Linked DNA regions of Astyanax mexicanus. The protein of the gene in region 3 binds, or shares a complex with, the protein of the main gene of each other region. Links are inferred from orthologs where the notes say so. Each region holds a gene or a part of one and is shown on either strand. Other genes may lie near its edges. The genes, in order: nup85, ranbp2, nup93 and nup214.

What was found.
Region 1: nup93 (region 3) and nup85 share a complex: the UniProt entries of both Homo sapiens proteins name them as parts of the nuclear pore complex. The link is inferred for Astyanax mexicanus from reciprocal best matches to the Homo sapiens genes NUP93 and NUP85.
Region 2: nup93 (region 3) and ranbp2 share a complex: the UniProt entries of both Homo sapiens proteins name them as parts of the nuclear pore complex. The link is inferred for Astyanax mexicanus from reciprocal best matches to the Homo sapiens genes NUP93 and RANBP2.
Region 4: nup93 (region 3) and nup214 share a complex: the UniProt entries of both Homo sapiens proteins name them as parts of the nuclear pore complex. The link is inferred for Astyanax mexicanus from reciprocal best matches to the Homo sapiens genes NUP93 and NUP214.

The regions. Positions count from the first base shown.
Region 1 is NC_064410.1:17,650,362-17,657,680, reverse strand, and holds the start of nup85 (nuclear pore complex protein Nup85), read right to left. Parts: upstream 3,025-7,319; 5' UTR 2,626-3,024; intron 2,577-2,625; exon of another isoform or gene 2,487-2,576; intron 1-2,486. Other genes in the region: sumo2b (small ubiquitin-related modifier 2), read left to right, coding at 6,827-6,847. UniProt on the Homo sapiens protein: Essential component of the nuclear pore complex (NPC) that seems to be required for NPC assembly and maintenance. As part of the NPC Nup107-160 subcomplex plays a role in RNA export and in tethering NUP96/Nup98 and NUP153 to the nucleus.
Region 2 is NC_064418.1:23,985,956-23,992,837, forward strand, and holds the start of ranbp2 (E3 SUMO-protein ligase RanBP2), read right to left. Parts: upstream 3,014-6,882; 5' UTR 2,875-3,013; coding exon 2,803-2,874; intron 1-2,802. Other genes in the region: LIM and senescent cell antigen-like-containing domain protein 1, read right to left, coding at 6,308-6,446. UniProt on the Homo sapiens protein: E3 SUMO-protein ligase which facilitates SUMO1 and SUMO2 conjugation by UBE2I. Involved in transport factor (Ran-GTP, karyopherin)-mediated protein import via the F-G repeat-containing domain which acts as a docking site for substrates.
Region 3 is NC_064416.1:22,512,628-22,520,445, reverse strand, and holds the start of nup93 (nuclear pore complex protein Nup93), read right to left. Parts: upstream 3,017-7,818; 5' UTR 2,896-3,016; intron 1,170-2,895; 5' UTR 1,153-1,169; coding exon 974-1,152; intron 756-973; coding exon 638-755; intron 1-637. Other genes in the region: metallothionein-1, read right to left, coding at 4,732-4,823, 5,034-5,099, 5,217-5,241. UniProt on the Homo sapiens protein: Plays a role in the nuclear pore complex (NPC) assembly and/or maintenance. May anchor nucleoporins, but not NUP153 and TPR, to the NPC. During renal development, regulates podocyte migration and proliferation through SMAD4 signaling.
Region 4 is NC_064408.1:3,828,374-3,835,586, reverse strand, and holds the start of nup214 (nuclear pore complex protein Nup214), read left to right. Parts: upstream 1-4,191; 5' UTR 4,192-4,371; coding exon 4,372-4,413; intron 4,414-6,980; coding exon 6,981-7,176; intron 7,177-7,213. UniProt on the Homo sapiens protein: Part of the nuclear pore complex. Has a critical role in nucleocytoplasmic transport.

The DNA.
Region 1 (7,319 bases), on a different chromosome or scaffold from region 3:
TGGCCTCTTTTTACCCTCCATCACAGTCGTCTGACGCTTTGTGCTATTCTGTTGCTGCATTTAATTTGATCGCTTCAGAAAAGACCACTGGTGGACGCAACCAACTCAAACATTTGGGAGAGGAGAATTCCCTCAGATGGTTAAACCCGACGTAGGGGCTGTGTTGTCAGACGAATAGAGAGTGCATAGTTGAATGGCAATGAATGCAAGAATAAGATTAGAGAAGTGAGGGTAAATAATTTTTTTCCGTCCAACCGGCCCAAACTCGCCCCGGCCCATCGGGAATCCTCCCGATTAGCCACTCCGGGCTTGTTTAAATAATTTATTAATTCAATATAATAATAATTATATCAATATAATAATAATAATAATAATAATAATAATAATAATAATAATAATAATAATATCAAATTATATTAATAATAATAATAGTAATAATAAAAGTGTGTGTGTGTGTGCAGTTTTAAAAAAATCTACAAAATATTCAGAATGCTAACTAAAATAGAATATGTCAAAATAATGTCAATATTATTATTATTATTATTATTATTATTATTATTATTATTATTATTATTATTATTATTATTATTATTATTATTATTACCATTATCCTATATTAGACTGTACTATTTATTTTATTAAAAATGTTTATTCTTTAAATTAATAAAATATTTCAGTTACTGTCACCAAGAACATTATTATAAACACACCCTGTAGCTAAATGGCCTACAAAGTACTACAGTATATTAAGCTAACTAAAATAGAATATGTCAACATCTAATAATACGTACTTGTAACTTTCTGACAGGTAATATTCTCACTCTAATGGTAACCTAATCCTAATCAAATATTATATACAGTTATCTTTCACTAGTGGCATCAAATATTTTCTAAGGTGATGTTATCGTAAAACAGTACTGAGGGAGCTGTGCTGAGCTGTGAAATGGTAAATTCATGTGCGTTGTGTCTGACCCGTGTGTGTAAACCTGTGTAAGGAGAATGAAAATTAAGATTTGTGCAAAAGAAACACTCATTCATAAATTCGTCAATTAAATTCTGAACGACGGAATTAATGCGTTGCTAAAATATATCATAGAACCACAGCCATACTTGAAGTAGCATAGAAAATGAATGTGGCTCATTTTAGACCCACGCTGCCCGTTTGAGCGGCAGCGATACAAAAAGGGCTTTTATTTAAAAAGTAAGAAAGCAAAAAATAATATAAGGATGTACCATGATCAAAAACAATTTAATTAAGGAATACCTTGAATACTGAATGATTCGGAATATTACGATCTCATAGTGAACAGTTTTTTTTTTTAAGAGTGACCCTAAAACGTATAGAATCTCTACACAGATCTGCTAAATGTGTTGCTGGATTTTGTGTGTCCGGTTGATTTCCTAATTTCTCAATTTATGCATTCATTCTGTATGCTGTGGTGGTCTCTGTATTGCGCGTTTTATTAAAATCCCCAATGCCTTCGAGAGAGAGTGTGTGTGTGTGTGTGTGTTGGCTGGCTCAGGTCTTGCGGCATCAGACAAATTAAACATGATTACTAAATAGGCCAGCAATGAAAGAGTTGATAAAAAATAAGTACATTTGATTACATTTTGTTATGTTTTAATCAGGGACTACATTTTGCAAAGCCCAGTTTAGCCAGAAATACATGAATCTAGCACATCTAATAACACAGCAGACATTTGAAGCACTTGGGGGCTTTTATTTTAACAGGAGATATAGTTCCCTGACAGAGTCAGAGGGCTGAACTGCTTGGAGAAGGAGGGGATATGTATATTCTGTCCGTTTTTGCATATGGAACGCCTGGAGGCGTTATGAAAACGCGTGGTGGCGTTATGTAAGCGCCTGGCGCCGCCACACGCTCTTAAACGCCTGGCGGCGCCTCGCGTTTGTTCCAAGGCGTAAAAGTAAGCCCTGCACGGCGTTTTGGACGGCGTTTTTTAAGTATTTCGCACGCTTTAAGCGCCGTCAGACCCAGGCGAATTCTGACCCATTTGGCTTGCCATATTACAGTGATATGATCAGCCCACCTTTAAACAGTAGTTACAAGCCTTTAAATCATTAACACAATATCCAAACACTTTAAACTACACTAAAGAGCACGTGCTGTTATTTTGTGTGAAACTTAAGTTTAGAGTTTGATCTGTTAATTCACTTCTTAACCAGCATCCAAAAATATTAAACTCCCGTTAAAATTAACCATCTTTCTTTAGAGAAAAATCACTAGGACCTCAGAGTCAATAAACTAGTAGATTTATTTAGCACTAACTTAGCCAGTTTAGCTTAGCTTAGCCAAGGTGATCCGTTGAGTTCTGCTAAAATCGATATGGGCTGCTCAGCAGCTGTTAGAATTCATACATTTACAGCCTTTAAAGTTTTCAGGTGTTTTTCATTATAATTCACTTTTTCCTTGGTACATTATACAATCTGAGCCTACTGACAAGGCAACACAAAGCCACAGACCTACCTAGCCAACATATTAGCGCCCATTCCACCATTAGAGATATTTACATTTTCCATTTAGAACTGTGCACAAGTTGTTATTGCTAGCTATCAGTCAAAATGGCAGATGACAGACATGCTGAATGAGGAGTCCAGCCACTTACTGGAATAGGAATGGGAGTTCTAGTAACCCTCAACCCCAGCTGCTTTATGGATAAGTCTCGCCCTTCAACAAAAAGAGCCAATCAGCTTGCTGGATGTGCCAGAGCAGAGGAGGGTGATCTGTGCAACTGCAGTAGCCAGAACAATCTGAAAAATTATGTTTTTTGTGCATTGTTGAGCCAAACGCTACAAACTGTTCATGAGGTTTGTATCAGATTTTATCAGTGATGTCAAATCTGTTTTTTGTATCAAGACTGGGTCCTTGACAGAAAAAATATCAACGTGCTGTAAAGGCTAAAAGTACCACAGCATAAGAGACTCTAACCTCACACAAATCTAAACTACCTCACACACCTAAAACCCACCCTCACATCCTAACCTCACAAACACCTAAACTACTTCACACACCCTAACCTGTTACACCTAACACACACTCTAACCTCACACACCCTAACCACTTACACCTAAAAAAACACACCCTAACCTCACACACCTTAACCACTTACACCTAAAAAACACACACCCTAACCTCACACACCTTAACCACTTACACCTAAAAAACACACACTCTAACCTCACACACCCTAACCACTTACACCTAAAAAACACACACCCTAACCTCACACACCTTAACCACTTACACCTAAAAAACACACACTCTAACCTCACACACCCTAACCACTTACACCTAAAAAACACACACTAACCTCACACACCCTAACCCTTTACACCTTAAAAACAAACACCCTAACCTCACACACCTTAACCACTTACACCTAAAAAACACACACACCCTAACCTCACACAAATCTAAACTACCTCACACACCTAAAACCCACCCTCACATCCTAACCTCACAAACACCTAAACTACTTCACACACCCTAACCTGTTACACCTAAAAAACACACACTCTAACCTCACACACCCTAACCACTTACACCTAAAAAACACACACTCTAACCTCACACACCCTAACCACTTACACCTAAAAAACACACACTCTAACCTCACACACCCTAACCACTTACACCTAAAAAACACACACTCTGACCTCACACACCCTAACCACTTACACCTAAAAAACACACACTCTAACCTCACACACCCTCACACACCCTAACCACTTAAACCTAAAAAACACACACCCTAACCTCACACACCTTAACCACTTACACCTAAAAAACACACACACCCTAACCTCACACAAATCTAAATTACCTCACACACCTAAAACCCACCCTCACATCCTAACCTCACAAACACCTAAACTACTTCACACACCCTAACCTGTTACACCTAAAAAACACACACTCTAACCTCACACACCCTAACCACTTACACCTAAAAAACACACACTCTAACCTCACACACCCTAACCACTTACACCTAAAAAACACACACCCTAACCTCACACACCCTAACCACTTACACCTAAAAAAAACACACCCTAACCTCACACACCCTAACCCTTTACACCTAAAAAACACACACCCTAACCTCACACACCTAAACCACTTACACCTAAAAAACACACACTCTAACCTCACACACCCTAACCTTTTACACCTAAAAAACACACACCCTAACCTCACACACACCTAAACTACCTTACACACCCTAACCACTTACACCTAAAAAACACACACCCTAACCTCACACACCCTAACCACTTACACCTAAAAAACACACACCTAAACTACCTTACACACCCTAACCACTTACACCTGAAAGACACACACCTAAACTACCTTACACACCCTAACCACTTACACCTGAAACACACACACACCCTAACCTCACACACACCTAAACTACCTCACACAACCTAACCTTACAAACACCTAAAAAATACACTCCCTAAACTCTTAAACCTAAAAAAAACACACACCCTAACCTCACACACACCTAAACTACCTCACACACCCTGACCTCTTACACCTAAAAAAAAACACACACCCTAACCTCACACACACCTAAACTACCTCACACACCCTGACCTCTTACACCTAAAAAAAACACACACCCTAACCTCACACACACCTAAACTTCCTCACACACCTAAACCTCTCCCATCTTAACCTCCCCTTACACACTTAAACACCCTCTCACATCTAAATTTCCCCTCACACACATATAAACCACCCCTGACACCTAACCCCCTCTCACACACATAACCCATTCCTCTTACACACATAAACCATCCCTTATACACACCTAAATCCCCAACACACATCTAACCACTCCTAACAGTGACCACAACCCCCTCATGCACCTAAACCACTCTTAACAGACCTAACTCCCCGCACACACCTAAACCACTCCTAACAGACCTAAATCCCCGCACACACCTAAACCACTCCTAACAGACCTAACTCCCCGCACATACCTAAACCACTCCTAACAGACCTAAATCCCCGCACACACCTAAACCACTCTTAACAGACCTAACTCCCCGCACACACCTAAACCACACACACTTTAACGACCTTACATACCTAAACCACCCCTAACACACACCTGCACCACCCAACACACCTAAACCTTACACACCTGAACCCCACTAACACCCCCCTAAATCCACTAACATACCTAAACTAAACCAGACACATCTAAACCACACACCCAAACCACAACCCCCTCACACATCTAAACCACACACCTAACACACTGCTAAAACAGACCAAAACCCCCTCACACATCTAAACCACACCAACACACAAAAAGCCCACAGTTAAACCATCTTACACACATGAACCTCACACTTATCTAAACCACCCCCACACATAAACATCCCACACCTAAACCACCCTTCACGCAAACAATAACCTCACACACTCCTAAATCATACATAAAACCTCACACACCTAAACCACCACCCTCCACACTCTAACCACCTTACACACCTAAACCACCCCTCACACAAACAGTAACCTCACACACCTAAACCTCAGATGCACCTAAACCAGCCACCTCCACACTTTAACCCCCTCACACACACCTACATCACACCTAACACACAAACCTACACTTAAATGACCCCTAACACACAAATTTCACATGCCTAAACCACCCCACATACCTACTAAACCTCACACGCCTAGACCCCCTCACACACTTAAACCACCCCTCACACGCACCAAACACACTACCTCACACACCTAAAACCCACTCTCACATCCTAACCTCTTACACCTAAAAATAACACACACCTAAACTACCTCACACACCCTAACCTTTTATACCTTAAAATATACCCTAGCCTCACAAACACCACCTAAACTACCTAACACACCTACAAAAACACACACCTTAACTACCTCACACACCCTAATCTCTTACACCTAAAAAACACACACCTAAACTTCCTCACACACACCTAAACTACCTCACACACCCTAATCTCTTACACCTAAAAAACACACACCCTAACCTCACATACATCTAAACTTCCTCACACACTCACACCCTAACCTCACAAACACCTAAACTACCTTACACACCCTAACCTTACAAACACCTAAACCACACACACGTAAACCTCACACACAAACCACCCCAATACACAAAAAGCCCACACAGTTAAACCACCTAACACATAAACCTCACACATACCTAAACCACCCCCACACAAACAGTAACCTCACACACATTTAAACCTCACACACTCCTAACACACACCTCAGCCTCACACACACATTTAAACCTCACACACTTAAACCACCCCCACACACACCTAAACCTCACACACATCTAAACCACCTTACACATCTAAACCTCACACACATAAACCTCTCTCTCACACACACCCACGTGTTCATTGCTCTCTATGATCATAAACGCGCAGTATTTTCAACATTTAACACGAATTTGCAGTAAATTCGTCTGAAAACATGGCGTGCGCGTGCACGAGCGATGCGCACCACCGACATTCTGTACAGGTTTCGCGCATTCGTGACGTCGCCGCTCGCGCCCCTCAGCAACCATCCTGCCGTACAGAGCGGGTGCGCGCACGTTCGCCCGTGGTCGCGCCCCAGCCGCTGTGGCTGTGAAACGAGGGGGTGTCGAGCGCGCGCACGAATGCTCTAGAATGGCGATGATGGGGGGAGGGGAGGGGAGGGTTGCGCGCGTACGAGCGCGTGTACGTGCGCGTGCACGGCGGGAGTCTCTTTGTGCGGGCGGCGAGAAATAACACACAATAACGATGGCGGACGAGAAGCCCAAGGTGAGAGAGAATTAAAATTAATATAATAACAATAATCATAAAATAATTCGCAAATCACACAGAAGATACGGCATGAAGGAAAAAGAAGAATAGAGTGATGGAGAATTAATGGAGAGTTTGTGTGTAGAATAATTCCGCGTAGTGGATAAATACTGCAACTGCTGTTGTAGAATCGCCGGAAGAGTCGTGAACGCGCATTTAGCACGTTAGCTAACATGCTAGCCAGCAGCGCGGGTTCAAGCAGCGTAATGAATGTACGGGTGCTGGTTCGGGTTTACAGCACAATTCTGTGAAATGCGGGAAAACACGGACCTTATTTAAGCGCTGATGTGTTAAGAGTAGTAGAGAGGTACAGTCTGAGAACTTGGGCTTTGTTTTTAAGCCGGTTTGAAGACTTTTATAGCAGAACAGCCGCCCAGCTGCGGGTCGGTGTCTGCAGGCTGCGCTGTGTGGAGCGCTGGAGTCTGGAGAA
Region 2 (6,882 bases), on a different chromosome or scaffold from region 3:
GAACAGATATAATATGTCTCTAGTAGATATATAATAGGAATTTTCTTTTGCTTAAAACAGCCAAAAAAATAGTACCCTGATGTGATAATTAGGGCACGATATTTCAGGATAAAATATTGTACACTGTATTCAAAAATGTTAGCGATATTATCGTGTACGATACGATATGGCACACCTCTATTCTGTATTTAAAACAGCAGATACCGTATGCGGAATAAACATCACACAGCTGTAAGTCTATTTGAGAAGCAGCATAAGAGCCCTAACTGTGAGTACCTTTACCAGCCTTACTCTGAGTAGCTCATACACCAGAACAACTCAAGCTGGAAGATGAACTGATAAATATGTCTCTTTCTCACTCTTTCTATCTCTCTTACATACACACACATTCTCTAACTCACACACACTAAATAAACTGTATTTCAGACAGCTGTGATCACTTTCTGATGTTATATATGTGAGCTACAGTATAGTTAGTTCTGCACTAATATAGTAAAAAGTTTTATCTTAGCTGTATCTAGTGCCAGGTGTCCATTTCAATTTAATTTCTGACTTGATAATTTTGGTGAAAATGAGTAAAACCTGTATAGTTTATTGGGTTTCTGAGTTTGTTTCTGGGTTTCTCAAGTTGAGCTCTCTGATGTGATGTGCGTGTCATGTTCATGTGTGTTCTTTTGGCTATTTTAAGCAGTTTTTGGGGACAGTTAGTTGTTTCACAGTAACTGATTTTTTTGTTTTTGTTTCTTTTGTTGAGTTTTTTTTTTCATAATATCTTTTTGAATCCTGATCCTCACAAAAGTATGAAAAAAAAAACAAATGCTAGAATTAATAAAAACTAACGTTAACTAAAACTAAGCAATAATAAAGAAAATAAAATAATAAAAACTGGCACACCAACTCTAAAAACTAATTAAAACTAACTGAATTGAAGGAGAAAAAGTGGAAAAAAAAAAAAAAAAAGAATCTAGAATGAAAATTTCAAAACTATTATAACCTTGCTCCGTCCATTATCACTGAAAACAGCCGACACTAATTTCACTCTCAAATGTAAGAATCTAGAAAATTCTAAAGGGTTCACAAACTTTAAAGCACCACTGTACATCGAACATGATCTCACAGCTACAGTGAAATTTATCTGGAGTCTTTATATTAAGGTAGGATTTTAAACCATTTTTAAATTCCCTGTCTAACTTACTTGACTAATATCTACATATTTATACACATAAAAAGTTTCCTGTTATGTAAAAGGGTGTAATTGTATAATTATGTTTTTAAAATGATTAATTATTAATAATCATAATTATAATAATAATAATAATAATAATAATAATAATACTTAAATTGCTCACTGACATATTGGGGACAAAAACATCATACCACACAAGAATAAAGACAATATAAAACATACTTACAAAGCTTACAGAAACTGTATTTTCAGATATAACGTTATATAGACTAATTCTGACGAATAATACGACTAGTTTTAGGCATTAATAACAGTAATCTTACTATTTCTTTAAAAGATAGTTGTACTTTAGCTCTGATACTGTTCAGACATGTGAACTGCATCTCTCAGCCAGTCAAGGCCGGTTTAGATATGGTGAATTAGCATCAGCACCAGTAAGGATTTATTACAATTATCAGACTTGTGAGATTTGTACGGAAATGTGGAATTAACGTTTAGTACATGTAAAATAAATCAGTGTAGAGAGAGAGAGTTTAACTTGATCTTTAGAACCTCCCGCCCGTTTACCGCGCTTTCCTACAGTCAGCGCTAATGCTAATAGCCGGGTAACTGCGACTGTACAGCAGGGAGGTGTGGATAATGCGGTATAAATTATTAACGAAGAGATACGGGGTTTATTAATCTGGTGTTTATAACCCGGTTCACATTCACAGTGAACAGCTAAAAGCCCGCAGTGTACCGACTGTTCTCACTGAGGGACCGCTAGCCTAGCCTAGCCTAGCATAGCATAGCTAATACCGGCGACTCTGACACGCGCAGGCCTTCAGCTCCAGCCCCGCGCTGCCCTCACACACTGCGGCTGATACACACCCTGATCTACAGCTGGAGCTCGGTCAAATTCAATTCCGCAGTTCTACACATTAAACTTTAAACTGACCAAGTCTGAAGGAAAACTAAATAGCGCTGGATTCAGTAGAAACGTACTGATAGAAGAAAACACTGAATACAAGCTACTTTAATACATTTTAATGTTGATTATGGAAAAAAAACTTTAGTTGTTAAAATTCTGACACTGAATAAACCATCATTTAAAGGCTTTGGCTGGTTGGTGCTCTTCTACTCTCAGAACACAGACAGTTACCCTAGTTAACTGACGCTACCTAGCGTTAGGTTAGTTAGCTATTTAACGCTCAACGAGCTCGCTCACTTTCGATCTCTAATGCATTAATGTAACGTTAAACTCCGACATCAGAATTCGTTGAATTAACGTTGATTAAACAGTATGGTAGCGTTATGTATTGTATTTGCATAACGCTGTATTGTTAGTATTCAATTCTTATAAATTCTTAAAATAAAATATCTTAACTGTGATCTTGCATTGTAGCTGACGATAATGATGATGATGATTATTATGATTATTATTATCATTATTATTACTGGGGGGGGGGGGGGCTGGGGGGGGGCGTGTGAGCGTTAAAGTGCCACAAACACTAAAAGCCCATAACTAAATGAACTTAAGAAAGAGGGGGGGGGGTCTTCTCTACACAGAGCTGCTTTTGCTGGAGCCGGCCCTGGTAATGCTAATGCTAATGCTAGCGCTGGCGGGCGGTTGGTACCTGTGTGCGGGCGGGGGAGAGGCTCTCTACGGAGGAGATGTAGCGCTCCACGTCGGCTTTACTCCGCCTCATGTCTGAATCTGTCTCTGGGGTGGCGGGTGATCTGTGTTTCGCTGTTGTTCCGCTGTTACTCCGTTAATACACCGCTCTGTTTGAACACTCGCCGGGACCGCGCTCTTCCCCGAACCTGTCAAATATGGCCGCTCTCGTTTACCTTATCGCGAGATTTCCGTCCGCATCACACAATCCTATCACGCCTCCCAACAAACCATTCAGCCTATGAGGATTGAGGACGAACGTCCCGCCTCTAGAGTCGCAGCCAATAGAATGAAAGCTGCGTGTTTGCCGTCAGTGCAAGCGTGCTGCATGGAGAACAGGAGCTCCAGTGTTTTACAGTATATTACCTACGCTGTCCTTTATACGGTATATACACACTGTTCTTTCCACAATATATACACTCTACTTCACACAGTATATACACACTGTCCTTTATACAGTATATACACACTCTCCTATACACAGTATATACACACTGTCCTTTATACAGTCTATACACACTGTCCTCAACAGTCTATATACACTGTGCTTTATACAGTCTATACACACTGTCTTTTATATGATATATATACACACTGTCATCTACAGTTTGTCCACACTGTCCTTTATACAGCCTATACACTGTCTATATGCATGGTAGTGGTGTGTGAGGTGATGGTGTTTGTTTTGCTACAAGTTGATTAGATGCAGCAGTGCTGCTGGTGCTTTTTTAAACACTGCAGATATTTATAAAGATATAAATATATGTACATACTGGCTATACAAATTGTATTATAAGTAGGGTATTCTTTTTTTATTATTAATTTATAACTGGTATTAATAATAGGTGTGGTGTGAACAGAGTGGAGGCGTGAAACTCTGATGTCAGGAATCTCGAGTATTTTTTTTGGTATACATTCATTTTATTTAAATTATTTTCATTTCAAGCAATAGGCAGTGAATACTAAATAAACTCCAAACAAATAACATATACAATCCAAAGAGAAGCTGAGGCAAATCAGTGCACCTCATAGCAATACAATAACAATACATTCCACAATATATGCTAAATTAATATGCTGTATAAATGAAGTAGTAATATAAACTGAGTTTACACTGACTTCATACTGAGTATGAAGTCATACCCTCTATGGCATGGATTGGCTTTTAGGCACCAAAGAATATTTTTGATAATTGAATTTTCCTTTTAATGTCTTTGTCATTATTGTGGCTAGTTTATTTTCATTTGCATACTAAAACAGGGTTTTTTTATTTTTGTCTCAGTGCAACATTGTGCAGTTATTTTTTAATGGATATATCAACAGGCTACAATATTTGTTCCCAATAAATATGAAAAAAATCATGCTACAGTGGGCTAACCGGAGTATTCTGGGATGTGCATGAGTGAAAACAGGGTGGAAATAAGCGAGTTTAACACAGCACCTGTGAGATCCCAACCAAATACTTTGTGAGACACCCTGAAACTGCAGGTTAAATAATCTTCATTTTCTAGCTGTTCATGACCATATTGCAGTGTGAAGTTCATGTTTTACGCAATGTTTTTATCACGTCTTATTCTGTGAGATTATTGTCTGGCTGCAACAAAAATCTGATTATTGTCTGATGAGTTTTTATCTGTATTATGAAAAGCATGTAAATGCACTCAGTGAGAATCTAACTTAAAGCTACAGTAATCACACCACAGATCTAGGGACAGTGTTAGGCTTGGATTTTTGTTTTGTATTGTTTTTAATTGATTAACCACATCTCCAAATGTTTTTAGAATTTTCACAAAGTTATAAGATAATCTAAAAATTATGATTAAAGTCAAACAATATTAAAACATTAAAATCCTGGTTACATTGGTATTGCAAAGTTTGGGCATCCCTGATAATTATCATGATTCATCAGTCCACAGCACCTTATTCCAAAATGAAGCTGGCTTGTCCAAATGTGATTTAGCATACCTCAAGTGACTCTGTTTGTGGCGTGTGCTCAGAAAATGCTTCTTCTGCATTAATTACTCTTCCATACAGCCACTCCTTGTGTAAAGTGCTCTAAATAGCTGAATGTTGCACAGTGACTCCATCTGCAGCAAGATGATGTTGTAGGTCTTTGGAGCTGATCTGTGGGTTGACTATGACTGTTCTCATCATCCTTCTCCTCTGATTATCTGAGATTTTTCTTGGTCCGCCACTTGGGGTCTTAACTAGAATTGTGTCTGTGGTCTTCCATTTCCTCACTATGATCCTCACAGTGGAAACTGACAGCTGAAATCTCTGAGATCTGAGCTTTTTGTATCCTTCCTCTAAACCATGATGTTGAACAATCTTTGTTTTCAGCTAATTTTAGAGTTTTGTTTTGAGGCTTCCATGTTTCCACTCTTTAGAGAAGATGCAAAAAGAAAAAAAAACTTGCAATTGGCCACCTAAACCTTTCTCATAAATAGATTCACCTGTGTATGTAGGTCAAGAGACAATGAGCTTAAACTATTTTGAGAACGAATTAGTGCTAAAGGTATTTAAATTAATAAAACAACAAGGGTGCCCAAATGTATGCACCTGCCCAATTTTTCTGTTTACAGAATTATTGAACACTTTCTGTAAATCCAATAAACTTGTCAGATATTACAATATCATCTGATATATTTCACTGAAATTGCCGATCTGAACAACCAGTGATTTATAAAGGAAATCATGAAAATGATCAGGGGTGCCAACTCTGTATGCATAACACTGTATGCTGGTTTAAAACTTGTCAATGCATGTGTACATTTCATACAGTGACATTTTGGACACACCTTAAATTCAGTGTTTTTTCATTATTTTAAAATGTTCTGCAATAAAGATTAATATTAAAGTCATTCAAACTATGAAGAAACACATATAGAATTATTTAGTAAACAAAAATATTAAACAAACCAGGTAATGTTCAAAGTATCACCTTTTGCTTAGATGACAGCTTTTTCCATCTTAGCATTTTCTCAGCCAGCTTTATAAAAATTCATCATAAACCTAATGATGAAACTGGCTCTCATCAGAAAATCCCCCAAAAAAGAAGGGCAAGAGTTACCAGTGTTGCACAAGATAAGTTCAACAGAGTTACCAGCCTTAGAAACCACAGTTAGTTAACAGCACCCCATATAAGAACCCACCAGGGTATCTGGGTATTGCAGAATATTTTGGGTTTGTTTAACACTTTAAAGTTACTATATGATTGAGTATGTGTTCCTTCTTGGTCTGGATGACTTCAGTATTTATGTACAATATAGGATAAAATCATTGAATATTTATAACAAATACTAGAAAATACTACAGTACACATCATCAAATTTCTGCACTTTCCTCATAGAACTGCAACATTTCTGAAAAAAAAAAAAAGAAAAATTTGATTATTGAAAGTGTAATAGATGATAAACACAGTGAAAAAATGAAGAGAACGCAGAACACTAACCAACTGCTGGCGAAGATCACAGACAGATACCCATCTTCCTCTTTCGCTCCTTGGAGTCGTGTTCACGCTTGGCCAGTCTGCGCTTCAGCTCCTCCGGCATTCTTTCATAGCACTGTTTACACACCGGTTTCAGATCCAGCTCCACAAACTTCTCCCTGATAAAAACCCAAATCACTCACAAATCACTCTATTGGATATAATTACATCATGTATTTATGCTCATTAATCTAGTAAACCTGTGCATCCTGAGTACTGACATTCTCTACTGTAAGAGTGGTATTTTCACATTAGCTTTTTTTCACTGGTCCTTGTAGTTCTTTTTTTCTTATTTTTGTGAGTTTGGTTTAGTTTGGTGCAATGTGAAAACTGCTATGAAGCAGGAAGCAGTCTGGTCTTCCTGAAATCAGTGACCTTGGTTTATTTTTTTAAGTGGACTCTAGTGCAGTCCACTGCAGGTGTTTGGAACATTGATGATTCCACTTTAACATTACTTCCCTTTCCATCAGGATATCTTTAAAGTACACTGGAGTGAGGGTACTACTGTACTAATAAAGGACACTGTGATAGGACTGTAATTACACAGTCATTGAG
Region 3 (7,818 bases):
ATACCATGAAATATCATGATATTATTTTAGGGCCTATCGCCCACCCCTAGTCACTACAGCGAACAAAAGCTCATCAGAAAATGCCCATTTTCAGAGAGCAGTAGATACTCAGCATTCTTTAACAGTTCTGTCTCAGATCCACCCACCATCGAAAGAACCCTGACGCCATCCATAACTGTGTGGCTCAGTCCAGCCTACTCCTTCTCAAATGCCAGACAGAAGAACTGTGTGCACAGCAGAAAAGCTGAATGGTCAGAAGCAGGCCTCAATCTAAAAGCTGCATGGCACCACAATCTTAAAGTGAGTTCCAAAAACATATCCCCCTGGACACCACATAGCTGGGGCAATAATTTTTACAGAAACTCCTCTTACCACTCCAATACAGCCAAAAATATGCAAGATTTCAACAATATTTCTGCAACAACCCCAAGATGATACTCAGATCTGACCTTCCTAAGTAGATACTATGAGAACCTAATACTCTTATTGTTGGTGTTGTTCTTGTGGTTACATCATGGGGCTAAAATAGGGCTCAATTATCAAATATCGCTCAATTTTCTGTATGTACTGATCTGTCAAATTAAAAAAATGTCCTATGTACATTTGAAACTATTCATCAGTTACATAAATTCTTTACCTGGATATCTGCATCCTTCACTGGTTCCAGTGGCTCAAAGGTTGTGGCTGCACTTAGACTCTCCAGACGCTGAGAAATATGAAAGATATCCAGACCCCTGGAGCCCAGCAGAATAGAGCTGGATGGAAAAAAAAATCTGTTTAGTAATTTATTCTGTTAATCTGTTCTCAAAATTATTCACATCAAACAATGGTACTTAAATTGTCACTGTTGTTGAGGTCAAAGAGCAGTTCGAACAGAAGGGGGCTAGTGAACTGTGTATTTATTAATATATATTTAATATTGTTTTTTTCAGAATAATATGGTCACAAATGTGCTGAACAGGTGAGAACTCACGCTTTGACATCGGCTGTGTCTTGAGAGGTACGTGTAAGAGTGCGGGAACGCAGCCTTTCTCCAGCCTGCTGAAGCTCTTGCAGATTCCGTTCCACATGTGGCAGCTCAGACACGGCTTCGGTCTCTGCTGCTAGCTGCTCTGCTTGCTGCAGGAGCTCCCCGAAGCCCTCGGCATCCATGTGCTTCACCTGGTGGCCTACGAAAGAACAGAACAAAATTATTATCACACAGTTTTAGATAATGAGATGATGGGGAGAAAAAATGTCATACTTAAAATACTCATACTTTTTTATTAGTCACATTAAACTGAAGTAAATAATTAAAGTTTGCAGAATTTTGACATTTTAAAACTAAAGTAAAAATTTACTTCAAATTTTAATTATTAAAAAAATTGAAAATTTGAAATCTTACAAATCACAAGTAATACTAGTTTATTTAATAACAGTTACAGGCTGTTGTCATGATTCCATAACAGAGACATTATAAGGTGTTGTTAATCACCATATTTATTTAGTAAGAAACACAGATTACAACAAACTTGCTTTATATAAATAATTGTTGTTAACCAGAGGACAGATGTCTCCAAAGTCTTTCCCTGGGGCCAAATGTGGCTATCTGAATTACTTTTAAGAACACATTATTAGGGGACCACAAGATGTTTCTGTTTTTCCATTTACTTGTGGCATCAGTATGTTATTTGCACTTCTGATATCCTGTTACAGTTATTGCACTCAAATGAAATTCAAATATGAATAGCAATGTACCGTGTGGGGTACAATCATTTATTAATAATATTTTAAAAGACCAGCCCGTTTTTTTTTGTTTATTTTGCACACCCCTGACAGAGAGAATGATAAAATGCACGACTGTTACATAACTGACTACTGAGCTCCTGATTTAAAATTAAAATAAAAACTAATTGAATATGTGGTTGAATCAATTTATTAAATCATTCCCTCAACTCAAGAAGCAAAATGTTCAAACCTAAGTAAAATACTTACACTTATTATTATTATTATTATTAAGGAAACAGTAGTGAGATAGTAAGTCGTTATTCTGAGATAGAAAATCATTATTTTGAGACACTAAGTCAGTAAAATTTGAGATAAAATAATATGATAGTATATCAAAATAACGAGTTACTATCTCAAAATGAGATTAAAGGATTCATTAAGATTTTATTGTCATTTCACATTATGTGTGATACATACGGTGGAACGAATTTGTATGTCCACGGTCCAGTTCCACCCAAAAAGCAATTTAAAATAGATAAATATAAAAACAAAAATATAGAGTAAAATACTGTCATAAGAGACAGAAAAACATAAAAAATATAAGGCGTATGGAAGCAGCAGCAATATAAAATACAAGTACAAATTGTAGTTTCCTTAATAAGAAAAAATTGTGTTTTTTTACTATAATTTTAGGTGGCGGGAATGTGTTAGAAGATAACTAGATAGCTAGGTTAGTTTAGCTGGTTTAGTATAAAAACCCTACAGTAATGTTTACACCACACGTTTCACAGTCTGAAGAAACGAGGTGCTGCTAGTGTTGCTAATCAGGCGCTGCAGTCATTAAAGCTAGCGAGTGTGTTTGCTTTTTAGTCTGAAGACGTCGTTACTGTTAACTATTAGCTCTTAAATCGCCCAGCTATCTGTAAACAGTGTGCGCTGTTCATGTTTATGTTCATATTTAAAAAGACGGTCACAGCAGTTATCTAGCCCGGCTAAAGGGCCCGGTTGGCGGGCGGTCGCCGGGAGCTCAGCGCTGCCCGCAGTGTGAGTGAAGTGCTGGAGCTAACGTTACTGAACTGAGAGCACATGCTTCTTTACTGCGGGGAATAACAACAACATGCCCTCTTCTAAACGAATAACCACTATCACAGCTTTAAACCATTATTACACAGAGCAGCTCCACCTCACCTCTTCTCTCCTAAGCCCTACAGTCCACAAGTTAATCCCAAAACTCTGTTCCTGACAGTAGAGCTGAATCCACCGCTCCGTCCTCTCTTTCACTCCCGGTTTCTTCTCTACGGCGTCGCTGATTGGCTGGGGACTCCCCAGAACGCGCATGCGCAGACAAAATAACTTTATTTATAAAATCCTTCTGGTTTGAAAAGGAGCTGGGCTGTGTCCTAAACGCGTGTTCGATCTACAAACCATGTGGATCTATACGACTTTGTTCTCGTAATATTACTATTTTTATCCTGTAATATGACGACTTTATTATTGTAATATTACTACTTAAATCTCGTAATGTCACGACTTTAATTTTGGAATATTACAACTTTACATTTTTAGAGTGGCCTTATATTGCTATTGACTCAACCAGAATAACATTACTTAGCCCCTAATGTATCAAGTTAGATAGAATTATGGTAGACAAGATTTCAAGACTGAGCATTTTTCTAAAGTTAATAACTAACTAAGTTCAATATGATGAAATTGATAGTTAAATTGAGGAAACACTTTATAAAACTGAAGGAGCAATTTATGTCTGTTTCTACTTTGTTACTTATAGGGCTTTGTAGAACGGAAAGAGATTGCTCATTCCCAGGCCCTCCATTAGGTAAACTTTTATAAAGTTGTTGGAGGGAAGGTGAGAGGAAAGTGAGTTTAAGGCAGAATTTAGGCACTTGGCTTTAGGGCCCTTCACTATTATATAACACTTCTACTTAAGCACCAAATGCCACAGTTGCCACTATGCTGGTTGTAATAATTGCTGCTATTTTTTATTGTGCTGCTAAAATAGAAAAGTGGTTATTAGCAGAGAATCATTTTAAGGATTAAACATTAATATAATTACAATCACCTCTGAAAATGTTCGAAACCAGTGCTGATTGTTTCCTCTAAAGATACTAGTTTCTGTTTGCACCTAAATAATTGATTGTCCATTTTTAAATTGGTTTATTTGATAACCATCATGAGGTCACAGTGGAGCATGTGTAAGTTCTTAAAAGCTTACTTGTTTGGGAAACTTTAAAAAAAGAAAAGGAAAAAGAATGCCTTGCAAATCTAGCAGGCATGCACACCCTTAAGGATACCAGTAATATGAAAGGGCTGGATATTGTATGTTAATAAAACAGTTTCCTAGTGAGCAAAAAGCTATAAAGATTGCTTAGACCAGCAACCCGGTGATCTGCTATAGCCATCTGTAGTCAGGAGTCAAAGGTTACAACTACCTTTGATTTTTCTTGGATAGTATGATGGACCCTCCTCCACTCACTGGTGCTGCTGGTCACAGTAGATATCAAAAGAGAGGTGGCTGGATATGGACAAACAGATCAGTACTAATTTGAAAGGTTAGGTCTACAGTTCAACTTAGCGTTTAAGTCAGGTTTGTTTAAAATAAGTTGCAGATAAAACTTTGCCCCATTTTTAGTTGAACAGGCCCATTTCATTCATTTATTGAATTCAGTTGCTCCCAGACCAATGGCATTTTATTAATAAGCAGTTGGTCAACATAGAGCATGTTGCATTTGATGTCAATCATGCTGCTGACTATTGGTCATGTTGATCATGCTTGCAAGTTATCAAACTCAAATGAAATTACCTCCATACACTCAATTTTAAGACTAGTAAAAAGGCCACCTCTAGTAGACTGGAGAAACTCACACTTAAAATGTTAATTCAAAAGACTCAGATACAGCAGTGTTATTTATTGGCATTTCCCTTAAAAAGACATTACTTATTTAGAAGCTACAGAGTACAAAAGGCAATACAATATGTACATCCTGATTGGCAGTAACAGTCCTTTCTTCACTGGCAGCAACTGGAGCCACAAGCATTTCCCTTGCATACACAGCCAGAAGCACACTTGCTGCAGCCAGATGGACAGCATGGACAGCAACCTGAAAATAAGAAGAAAAAATATATAAGCAACTTTTAATTAAGCTTAATTAAGACACCAAACTAAAATAAAAAAAAAAAAAATACAACTGACTTTCCAGCTTAAATATACATAAACAAAACTACAAATTAAAAACAGACCCTTTTAAATACTAAATTAAAAAGAGAAAGAAAAAAAAAAGTTAAATTTATGTTAGTGGAAATAAACTTACTTTTCTTGCAGGATGTACACTGGCAGTTTGTGCATTTGCAGCTTGTACCACAGCTGCAGCTTCCAGCTACAGAGAGAATAATGTTACAGTTAATAAAAACACTACAACTTGTTCACCCATCAACGTAATGACTAAAGCTTAACTAAAAACTAACTAGAGTGACATGCTACATTAGCTACTTACTCTTGGCGCAGTCACAGGGATCCATTTTCTCTTCAAATGTGTTCGTTTCAGTCGTGGATATCTTTCAAAAGAAGCTCTATCCTGAGGGAAGGCTGAATGTATTTGGTGAATGAATGCAGTGAATTTATAGCGAACTGAACTCACGCAGGACGAGTGCAAAACCACACCCCCCTCCTCCTCGTCCCCACCCCTTCTGCCTGCACACGGTTTACCTCATGGAGCGCCACAATTACGCCACCAAGACTGGGTGCAAACCATCAGACAATGATTAAGACCCCCATTTATCACCACCACTGAAATGTCAGCATTGTTTACGGAATTACATAAGAAGGGCTGCCCTTTCCAACCAAAGTAGCTTTTTAAAATGAGATTGTGTAAACATGATTACTCTGCGAAATTATTAGTAAAATAGTTTTAAAAAGAGAAGAAATGTCCTTAGAGACGTTTTGTAGACGATGTTTAAGATTAATACGTTTTAAAATGCTGGATAGAAGACGATGGGAACCAGTATATAGACGCAGCTACATGTTTAATGGTGAAAAGTAAAACTTAGTAAAAGTTGGTGACAAGTATAGTTTCTATTCTATTCTATTATAATCTATATTTTTGCACCAGAAGTGGCATAAGGTTATCCAAAAGCAATGTGTAAGACTCGTGGAAGAGAACATGCCAAGATGCATAAAAACTGTGATTAAAAAACAGGGTTATACCACCAAATATTGATTTCTGAACTCTTAAAACTTTATGAATATGAACTTGTTTTCTGTGTATTGTTTGAGGTCTGCACATAAATGCACTAAATGACAATATATATTTTTATTTTAATAATATTATTTTTTTAATCTGGGAGAAATGTCCCAAAAAATGATTTTATTTAAAAAATGAATTACTGATTTTCAGCAGGTCAGAAAGATTTTAGATTTTTTTTTACATCATGGTATTTTTATCTCAGCAGTTGATTAAAAGTTGAGATTATCTGTAATACAATGCTGTGTTGTAATCATGCTGCTTTTGGTCACACGCTGCACACGGCACTTCCACAGGGCTTGGTGAAGCAGCGCGTGCGCTCTGAGGCCGTGTGCACCCACTCTGTTCGCGCGAGAGCAGAGTAAACAAAACACAGCAGTAGAGTTTTGCACTCGTTGAGTGTAGAGGGTTATCTATGACTGAGCGTAATTTTTCATTTCTGTGAAGAGAGACGGTACTTCTTTTTAAATTACCGAATAATCTGTGAAATCCAGCTTTGTGAAGAACTGAGAAAGATCTAAAACTCTGATAGCCTCCTTCTCCTCCTCCTTCTGCTGCTGCTGCTACTGCTCTGTGTCTGCTGTTGTAATTACAAGGATTATTCTTTACAGTGTTTACCTGACTAATAGATCTCTAATGTTGACAAGGCTTAGGGGTGATGCCCTCACGATCCTGAAATTTCGGTCATCCTAGTGACGAATCTTAAAATGAATGAGGTGATAGGAACTAGGGATGATTATGTTTTATGGTCAGTATCAGAGAATCATTTAAAGGATAATAAAAAAAAATACAATATAATATAATATAATATAATATAATATATAGTATATAAGTTTATCTCTGAAGCTCTTCAAAACCAATGTTGATTGTTGATGTTTCCTTCAAAGATATTCTATTCTATTCACAATTATATAATTTCTTTTTGTCCATTTTTGAATTGGTTTGATTTGATAAACATCATGAGGTCACAGCATATGTAACTGCTTTCACAAAAGTGTGCTCGAAAGCTCCCTTGTTTGGTAAATTAAAAGAAAGGGAAGCCATACAGCCAATTACACCTAGCAGGCATGCACACCTTTGGGATACAAGTAATAGAAAAGGGCTAGAAATTGTATGTTAAAATTGCACAATATAATAATAAAACTAAATGTTTCCTAGTAAGCAAAAAGCTATGAAGAATAATCTGTGTTTTGTAAATTTGCCTTCCCTGGACAACTAAATTATGACCAGCTGAATTTGAATAAACATCTTTTTCTTGCAGAATATGTACTAGCAGTTTGTGCATTTAACCTACAGTTAATAAATGAAACACTTCGCCTTGCTGGTTTGTCAATGTCCTGACTTGTAAACATAACTAAAAAGCAAAATAAAAGTAACACATTAGCTTCTCACTCTTGGCGCAGTTACAGGGATCCTTTTTTTTTTACTTAAAATGAGTTTGGTTCAGTCCTAGTGTTAACATGAATCTTGGAGGTGATATGAACTAAAAATCAATTTGCTTTATCTACAGATTTTGTAAGTCTGTACTGGTTGTCCTTACAGAGCATTACATGTACCTGTCCACCCTGAATCAACTAATAAATAATAGCCAAAATCTTGTCTTGAAATATCCTGGCCATTAGCTAACACAATCTTAGCAATTTTACATTATACTTTTTCTGTGTTCCAGCTACAGCTTTTTAGGTCCCTAAAAGGGCTCATTGTAAAATATGTCAAATACACTTTAAATAATGTGGACAGTTTCTTACAAAACTTTGCCCTTCACTTTAACTCACAAAGTCCCTAAGTGACATACTGAACATCCCAGATGCGTCACAGGACAGTTTTTAATTAGGCAGTGCCTGAAAGAAAAAAC
Region 4 (7,213 bases), on a different chromosome or scaffold from region 3:
TAATGCAGGTTCTCCAAGCGTCTATTTTGGTTGTATTTTAACTGAATGCTGAGCGAGTTCTTTGAAGTTAAGCTCTTGTATCGTTTTATGACTAGCTTTTGGTACTGACCGCTAGCGCTAATGACTAGCTTTTGGTACCGACCGCTAGCAATAACGTACTGTTGCAAAATTCCAGTGACGGTATATAAGCATGGACGCCTTGGCTCCATTCCCCTCCGAACTCGGAACCTACTCATTTGGTAGCCCTGCCCCTTCTCTCAGACCATGCCCGTAGCTTAGCAAGCTAGCTAACTAACTTAGCTAGCTAGCTAAGCTACTGCAAATTTTCCTGAGCTAATGCAGGTTCTCCAAGCATCTATTTTGGTCGTATTTTGACTGAATGCTGAACCAGTTGTTTGAAGTTAAGCTCTTGTATCGATTTATAACTAGCTTTCGGTACTGACCGCTAGCGTTAACATACTGTTGGAAAATTCCAACATACAGTAATGTTCTTGGAGAAGTATTAGCATATTAGCATAACTTTCCGGCTTTGCTTGTTTCTACAAAGCTAATGCAGGTTCTGCTAGTGTCTCTTTGTGCAAGTTGTTTAAAGTTAGCCTACTGTATCCCTGTACAACCTGCTTTGGGTACCAACAGCTAATGCTAACGTTATGCTAATGCTAATGCTATGTCCGCCATGTTGACAAATTTGCAACCAGAGTCTCTGCCCTTATTCCAGACTAATCTCAAGTGTCTCAGACCGCCTGCATTGAGTTTACAGTGTAGCCTAAAGTACCAGAAGCAGTTTATCCTTTAAGCTAACAACTTTTGGTTAGTAGAATGTTTTCTGAACGTTACATTTAGCGTTCTTAGAATGTTATTTTCTGGATGTTTCTAGAATCTTTTTATTTATTGCTTTGAACTTTCTGTAACGTCATCGAGTTAACGACACTTCAAAGCGTCCAGTTTTTATTTAGTTTTAACTTTTAACATTTCCCTAATGTTGGTATACGTCTAGTTGGGAATGCTATGTGAGAAGCGGTCTAATAACGTTTTAATGCAAACCATTGTTACGTCACAAGTTTTCAGAATGTTCTTGGAACGTCATTTCCGTAACGTTACAGGTTAACATTTCTGGTACCTTTTCAAAAGGTTGCTAAACATTCTTTTAACATTTTCTAACATTAGCTGGATGCTCCCTATAATAAAGGTGATTGGTCTGTTCTAGACAAGGCTGCCGCCTGTCAATCACTTGATGATGTAGCCCCGCCTACTTGTTGCAATATAGAAGAATAACACTGTTGGAATTGTTGGATACTGGAGAGAAAAAGACAGTTTAGAATAGAGAAATTTGATGTGAGATGGGAAATGGGCGGGGCTTTTTTATGTAATTAAAACATATGGGAATGGTTGGAGCTACCCGTCATTCTGCAACCAGCCAGCAGAGGCGCTAGACTTGTGGTGGCTTTATGTTTAAGAGACTTTTGAGAGACGTTGCGCTGTCCATGCTTATGTACAGTTACTGTAAAAACCTGCAAGACAATGCTAGTCCACGGGTGTAAAACAGCTAGCTAGCGATATAGCCTATAGGCTAACTAACGTTACGTTACGTTCTAGGCTAACTACCTTTAGCGGCCAGGCTTCTTTCAGTATGGCAATACTGTGTGAATGAGATAATTCAGTACATGTGCTTCAGAGTTTTAAAGTGTGAAACACGTAAGTCCTTTAAAAAAAAAAAACGTTGTTTACGACTTCAGACGACACTTTAGACTTTAAACGTGAAATACCACCGACTACATCCTGATACGACTAAATCATTCACATTTTATCAGCCAATCGATTTCCTCCACCAACGACAGATTCTGGTTTGGGTTGAAGTTGTGTAGTTCAAGTGATTTAATTCCTTTTCAAATGCAATACTGAAAAAAAAAACTGCTTTCTAATAAAAGTCCTTATTTCACCAAAAACGTTTCCTGTGTTGTTTATTATTACGAAATGTAGGGTATTAAAAGGGTCATTTTTTATCTTTTTTCAACTTCTGTTACTGGCACTCACTCCTGTTACTGGAACTCACTCCTGTTACTTGCACTCACTCCTGTTACTGGAACGCATTCCTGTTACTGGCACTCACTCCTGTTACTGGAACTCACTCCTGTTACTGGAACGCATTCCTGTTACTGGCACTCACTCCTGTTACTGGAACGCACTACTGTTACTGGCACCCACTCCTGTTACTGGAACGCATTCCTGTTACTGGCACTCACTCCTGTTACTGGAACGCACTACTGTTACTGGCACCCACTCCTGTTACTGGCACTCACTCCTGTTACTGGCACTCACTACTGTTACTGGCACTCAGTCCTGTTACTTATGTTTTAAGTAACAGGACTGAAAGTAACAGGAATGAGATTTTAGCCTAGAATTATAGCCAATAGCGTAAGCACACTGAGCACATTCTAGTGATTTTTTCCAAAATTTCTATTTAAAAAAATAAACCAATAAGATGTAAGAATTAATTTAGGTAACAGGACTGAGTGTTGAGATTGAGCTCCTCAGTCATCGTTACAATAAGATCAAATATACAGAAAAACTAATGAGGGAACTTCGGGAATTTTATTCTTCAGAAGAACCAACTTCCTATTGTAGATGTCACTTCCTGTTGTAGATGTGACTTCCTGTTGTAGAATGTTCCAGATGTTTCAGATGATCAGGGTAATGTGTTACAGTAACAGGACTGAGTGAAACCACAACACAGTGACACAACTAAAATGTGTATTTTAACCTTAAAATAATGAATTTATTATGAAAATATATTTTTAAGCATAGATGGGATTTAGAGTCACACAACAATGCAAAAAAATACATCTCTGAATGATTTTAATAATTATATTTCATGGTAAAGTTTATAGTTAGAGAGTGGGGTAACAGGTATAAAATGCTATTTTTATTCATTGTTCTAAGTAGTTTTTATTAATGTTTTTAATTACATATCTTACTTTTGCAATTAGGCCAGTGTACAATAATAAAATGTATTTTAAAGTTATTTTGTGTGCACATTTATACATGTAATTTCGTGAAGACAGAAATGGCACAGATTCAGTGGAATATGCCAAAAAAAAATTATTTTGCTTTTGTTGGAGTAACTGCATCTACTGTCCAGGGAACACTTTTTTTTACTAGATGTTGGATTTACATTGCTTTGAGAATGTATAATGCTTTATTGTTAGTTTATAGGAATAGAACTGTGGCTAATGACTCCAGCAGATCTGAATATAACAGCATATCTAAATGAATAGAGCCAGAAGGTAACATAGACACAGAGGCACCTTGAAACACTGGCATTTACCCACTCCACCAACCACAAATCTAAGATACTTATAACTAATTAAAGCTATAAAATATTAAGCCAGTTTACTTGTTATGAACAAGCTGATATTTTAAGTAATTGGAAGAATATCAATTACAGTAACTACAAAAGTTAGAAACAAATATTATGATTATTATAATTGTTATAATTATAAGGGCCATTAAATTCAGTATATAAGTTATTAATAAGAATTAATGGTTTAAAAGAATAAAATAAGCTAAGAATAAGATATGCTGAGAGTTTAAATTGATTCATTTGTGCACACTCAACATTGATTCAATTTGTTATGTTTATCTTCTTTTTTATGTGTGTTGTGTGTTATGTATTGTTTATATTCTTGTTTGTGTTCTTGAAGTGAACATTTAATAATAATAATAATAATAATAATAATAATAATAATACAATGTTTTTCCATCCTAAATATTAAAAGATTTAATGCGAGTAAAATGTAACGTTTCTAGAAAAATTAAACAAATGATTAAAAAAATAAATACAAATCTTCAACATGTCTAGTATAACTTTGAGGACTTTTATTTTGTATATATGAAGGCTTTTGTCTTGTAAGCAGTAGTTATATTCACTACTGAAATAAAGTCACTTTTTAATCATATTTTTAATAATTGAGATGCATTAATAGCTTCCATTAAAAAAACACAGTGCTAATGAAGCTTTTATTATGAAGAAAGGAAACTGTATCAGATGATAGGGGACTTCTATTGTATAATGCCCGCTTTTAGCGGATGAGTGAGGACTTTTATTGTGTAATGTCCGCGTTTATGCGTCGTTAGAGGACTTTTATTGTGTAATGTCCGCTTTTATCTAGCGATAGAGGACTTTTATTGTGTATTGTGAGCGCTGTCGCAGTTGTGTGTGTTCGCATGGCTGCAGTGTGTGTAGTGTAGAAATGAGGAGCTGATAATTCTATTTTTACAGAGAGAAATATCTGTAATTCTATAATAATCCAGTAGATCCTGTAGATCCTGTAGATCCGGGTACTGCGGGCTGCTCTACTGAACGGCGGGAATATGGGGGATGATCAGTACCCGATCCCCGAGCGGGATATGAAGGTAAAGTTACAGCGCGCGCACAGCTAACAGCTAATGCTAATCCAGCTAAATACTGTATAAACTACTGTGAACTACAACTTTTATAGCTTATGTCTGATATTAATAAAGTGTATTAATTATTATTAAACTGGTGAAAATCCCCTGGAGCTCATATATGTACTATTTACTATTATAATCTCTCTAATTTAAACTGAAACAAACTGAGCTAGCCTAGCCTAGTTTAGCTAGTTAGCTTAACTTATACCTAAATATCAGTTCTTATTAATCGTATAAATCTGAAATAAACATTTATCAATGTTTTTATCACTAGTTTCTGTTAAAAACTACACTGATACTGTATTACTAGTTAAACGTCTAACTAACATTTATTATTTATTAATAATAGTAACGCACTTTCAAACGTTAGCTAACTTAGCTAACGCTAAGTAGTTACACATGAAGTTGTCACAATGTTGTCAACTTTCTTACAGCGTTGTTTTAACGTTATGTAGATGTTGCACTGCAACAATATTGTCTGAATGTTAAATTGTCTATTTTAGCAACAACGTTGTCCAAATGTTGCACTCTTAGACAACAGTGAAAAAAATGTTTCACTTATTTTTTTGCAGCAATGTTTTCTAAATGTTGAGTTGTTTATTTTTAGCAAAAACATCTGTCTAAATGATTAACTGTTTGTTTTAGGAACAATGTTGTCCAGATGTTGCACTCTTTCAACGTTGTCTAAATGTTAAGTTGTTAAGTTGTTTTTAGCAAAAATGTTGTCTTAATGTGGAACGGTTTAGGTTTTCAGCAACAACGTTGTTTAAATGTTGCACAGATTTTTTTGTAGCAATATTATAGAAACGTTGAAGTGTTTGACTAATCAGCAACGTTGTCTGAATGTTTCATCAATGTTGTCTAAACGTGCAACATCTAAATGTTGCATTGTTAATGTTTTATTAGACTCATAACTCCTGTAAACTACAGTGTACTACAGCTTCTGTCTGAGATTAATAAAGTATATTAATCATTATTAAACTGGTTAAAATCTTCTGGAGCTCATATACCTGTATTTACTATTATAATCTCTCTAATTTTAACTAAAAAAAACTGAGCTAGCCTAGCCTGCTATATATATATATATATATATATATATATATATATATATATATATATATATATATATATATATATACACACAGAGTTAGCTAAGCTAGTTAGCTAAACGTTTAGTTAAATATCAGCTCTTTTTAATAACAAAATTACTGATGTTTTCTACTCTAGTTTCTGTTAAAAACTACACTAATAACGTTTTCTAAACGTCCTTTAAGAATATAGTTTACGCTAGCTTACTTGCTAGTTGTCACAACGTTGTTTAGTTTCTTACTGCTAAGTTTCAACATTGTCTATAAGTTTCACTTTCTGTTCTTATACACAACGTTTTCTAAATGCTTAGCGGTTTATTTTATCAGCGTTTTCTTAGTGCATCACTGTTTATTTAATCAAAAACATTGTCTGAATATTGAACTGTTGTTTAAGCAACGTTTTCTTCATGTTGAACTAACGCTAAGTAGTGAGCCAGCAAAAACATGTTTTCTCAATATTGTCAGCTTTCTAACACAGTCGTTTTATTATGTTGAATCAATTATTTTTTGGCAACGTTTGTCTAAATGTGGAACAGTTTATGCTTAAGTAACAACGTTGTCCAAATGTTGCACTCTGTTTTAGCAATTTTGTCTAAATGTTGAGTTCTTTATTTTTAGTAACAACATTTGTCTTAATGTTTAACTGTTTGTTTTAGAAACAATGTCATCCAGATGTTGCACTCTTTTATCAATGTTGTCTAAATGTTGAGTTGTTCATTTTTAGCAACAGTTTAAATCTTGCACAGATTTTTTTTTGCAGCAATATTACCTAAATGTTGAACTATTGTCTGAATGTTCCACACTGTTTTATCAGTGTTGTCTAAATGTTGCACTCAACATATTTAGATGTTGTTGGGACAAATGTTGCAATTTTTTTTTCAGTGTATTAGTTGTGTGTCATTTTGTAAACTTATTACCGTTATTCAATATTTATTGCATTTTACCTAGGTTTGTGCTATTAACAATTACAACTTTACAACAGCATCAATGTTTCTTACCATTTAGACTTTATTACTGACTTTTAACAGATTTCTAAATGTTTTACCTCAATAGCCTAGTTTTCTTGCTGTTCTTTTATTTTGCATTTTTTTAAATAAAAATTTAAATCAGAAAACTACTCTACATCTCTTCATGGCTGTCTCTCTCTCTCTCTTTCTCTTTCTCTTTCTCTCTCTCTATTAGCATGAATGTAGTTACATACATTATTGCCAAATCAATTAATAATACAAGTAACAGACAAAAAAAATACTAATAATAATAACAAAAATAAAATACATAACTAAATCTAAAGATTAGAGAGAAAAAAACCCAGTAATATTAAAAAGGTTGGGTTATTAATAAAGAAAATAAGTAAAAGTAGTCATAAAAGCATGTTAAAGTTAGATTAATAAAACATTAAATTAAATTAATAAATAAGTTAATTAATCTCTATTTCTGTAACAGGATTTTCAGTTTCGTCAGATGAAGAAGATCCGGGTGTTTGATTCTCCTGATGATCTGCAGAAGGAGCGCTCTGGTCTTCTGGCGATCTCTAATAAGTTCGGCGTGACGTTTGTGGGTCTGGACAGAACTCTGAAGGTTTATCTGACTCGGGAAATCATCGCCGCCGCGAAAGTGGATGGAAACATTAATGAAATCGGTAAGAACTGATCGGTTTTACTAGATTGAATTATCTA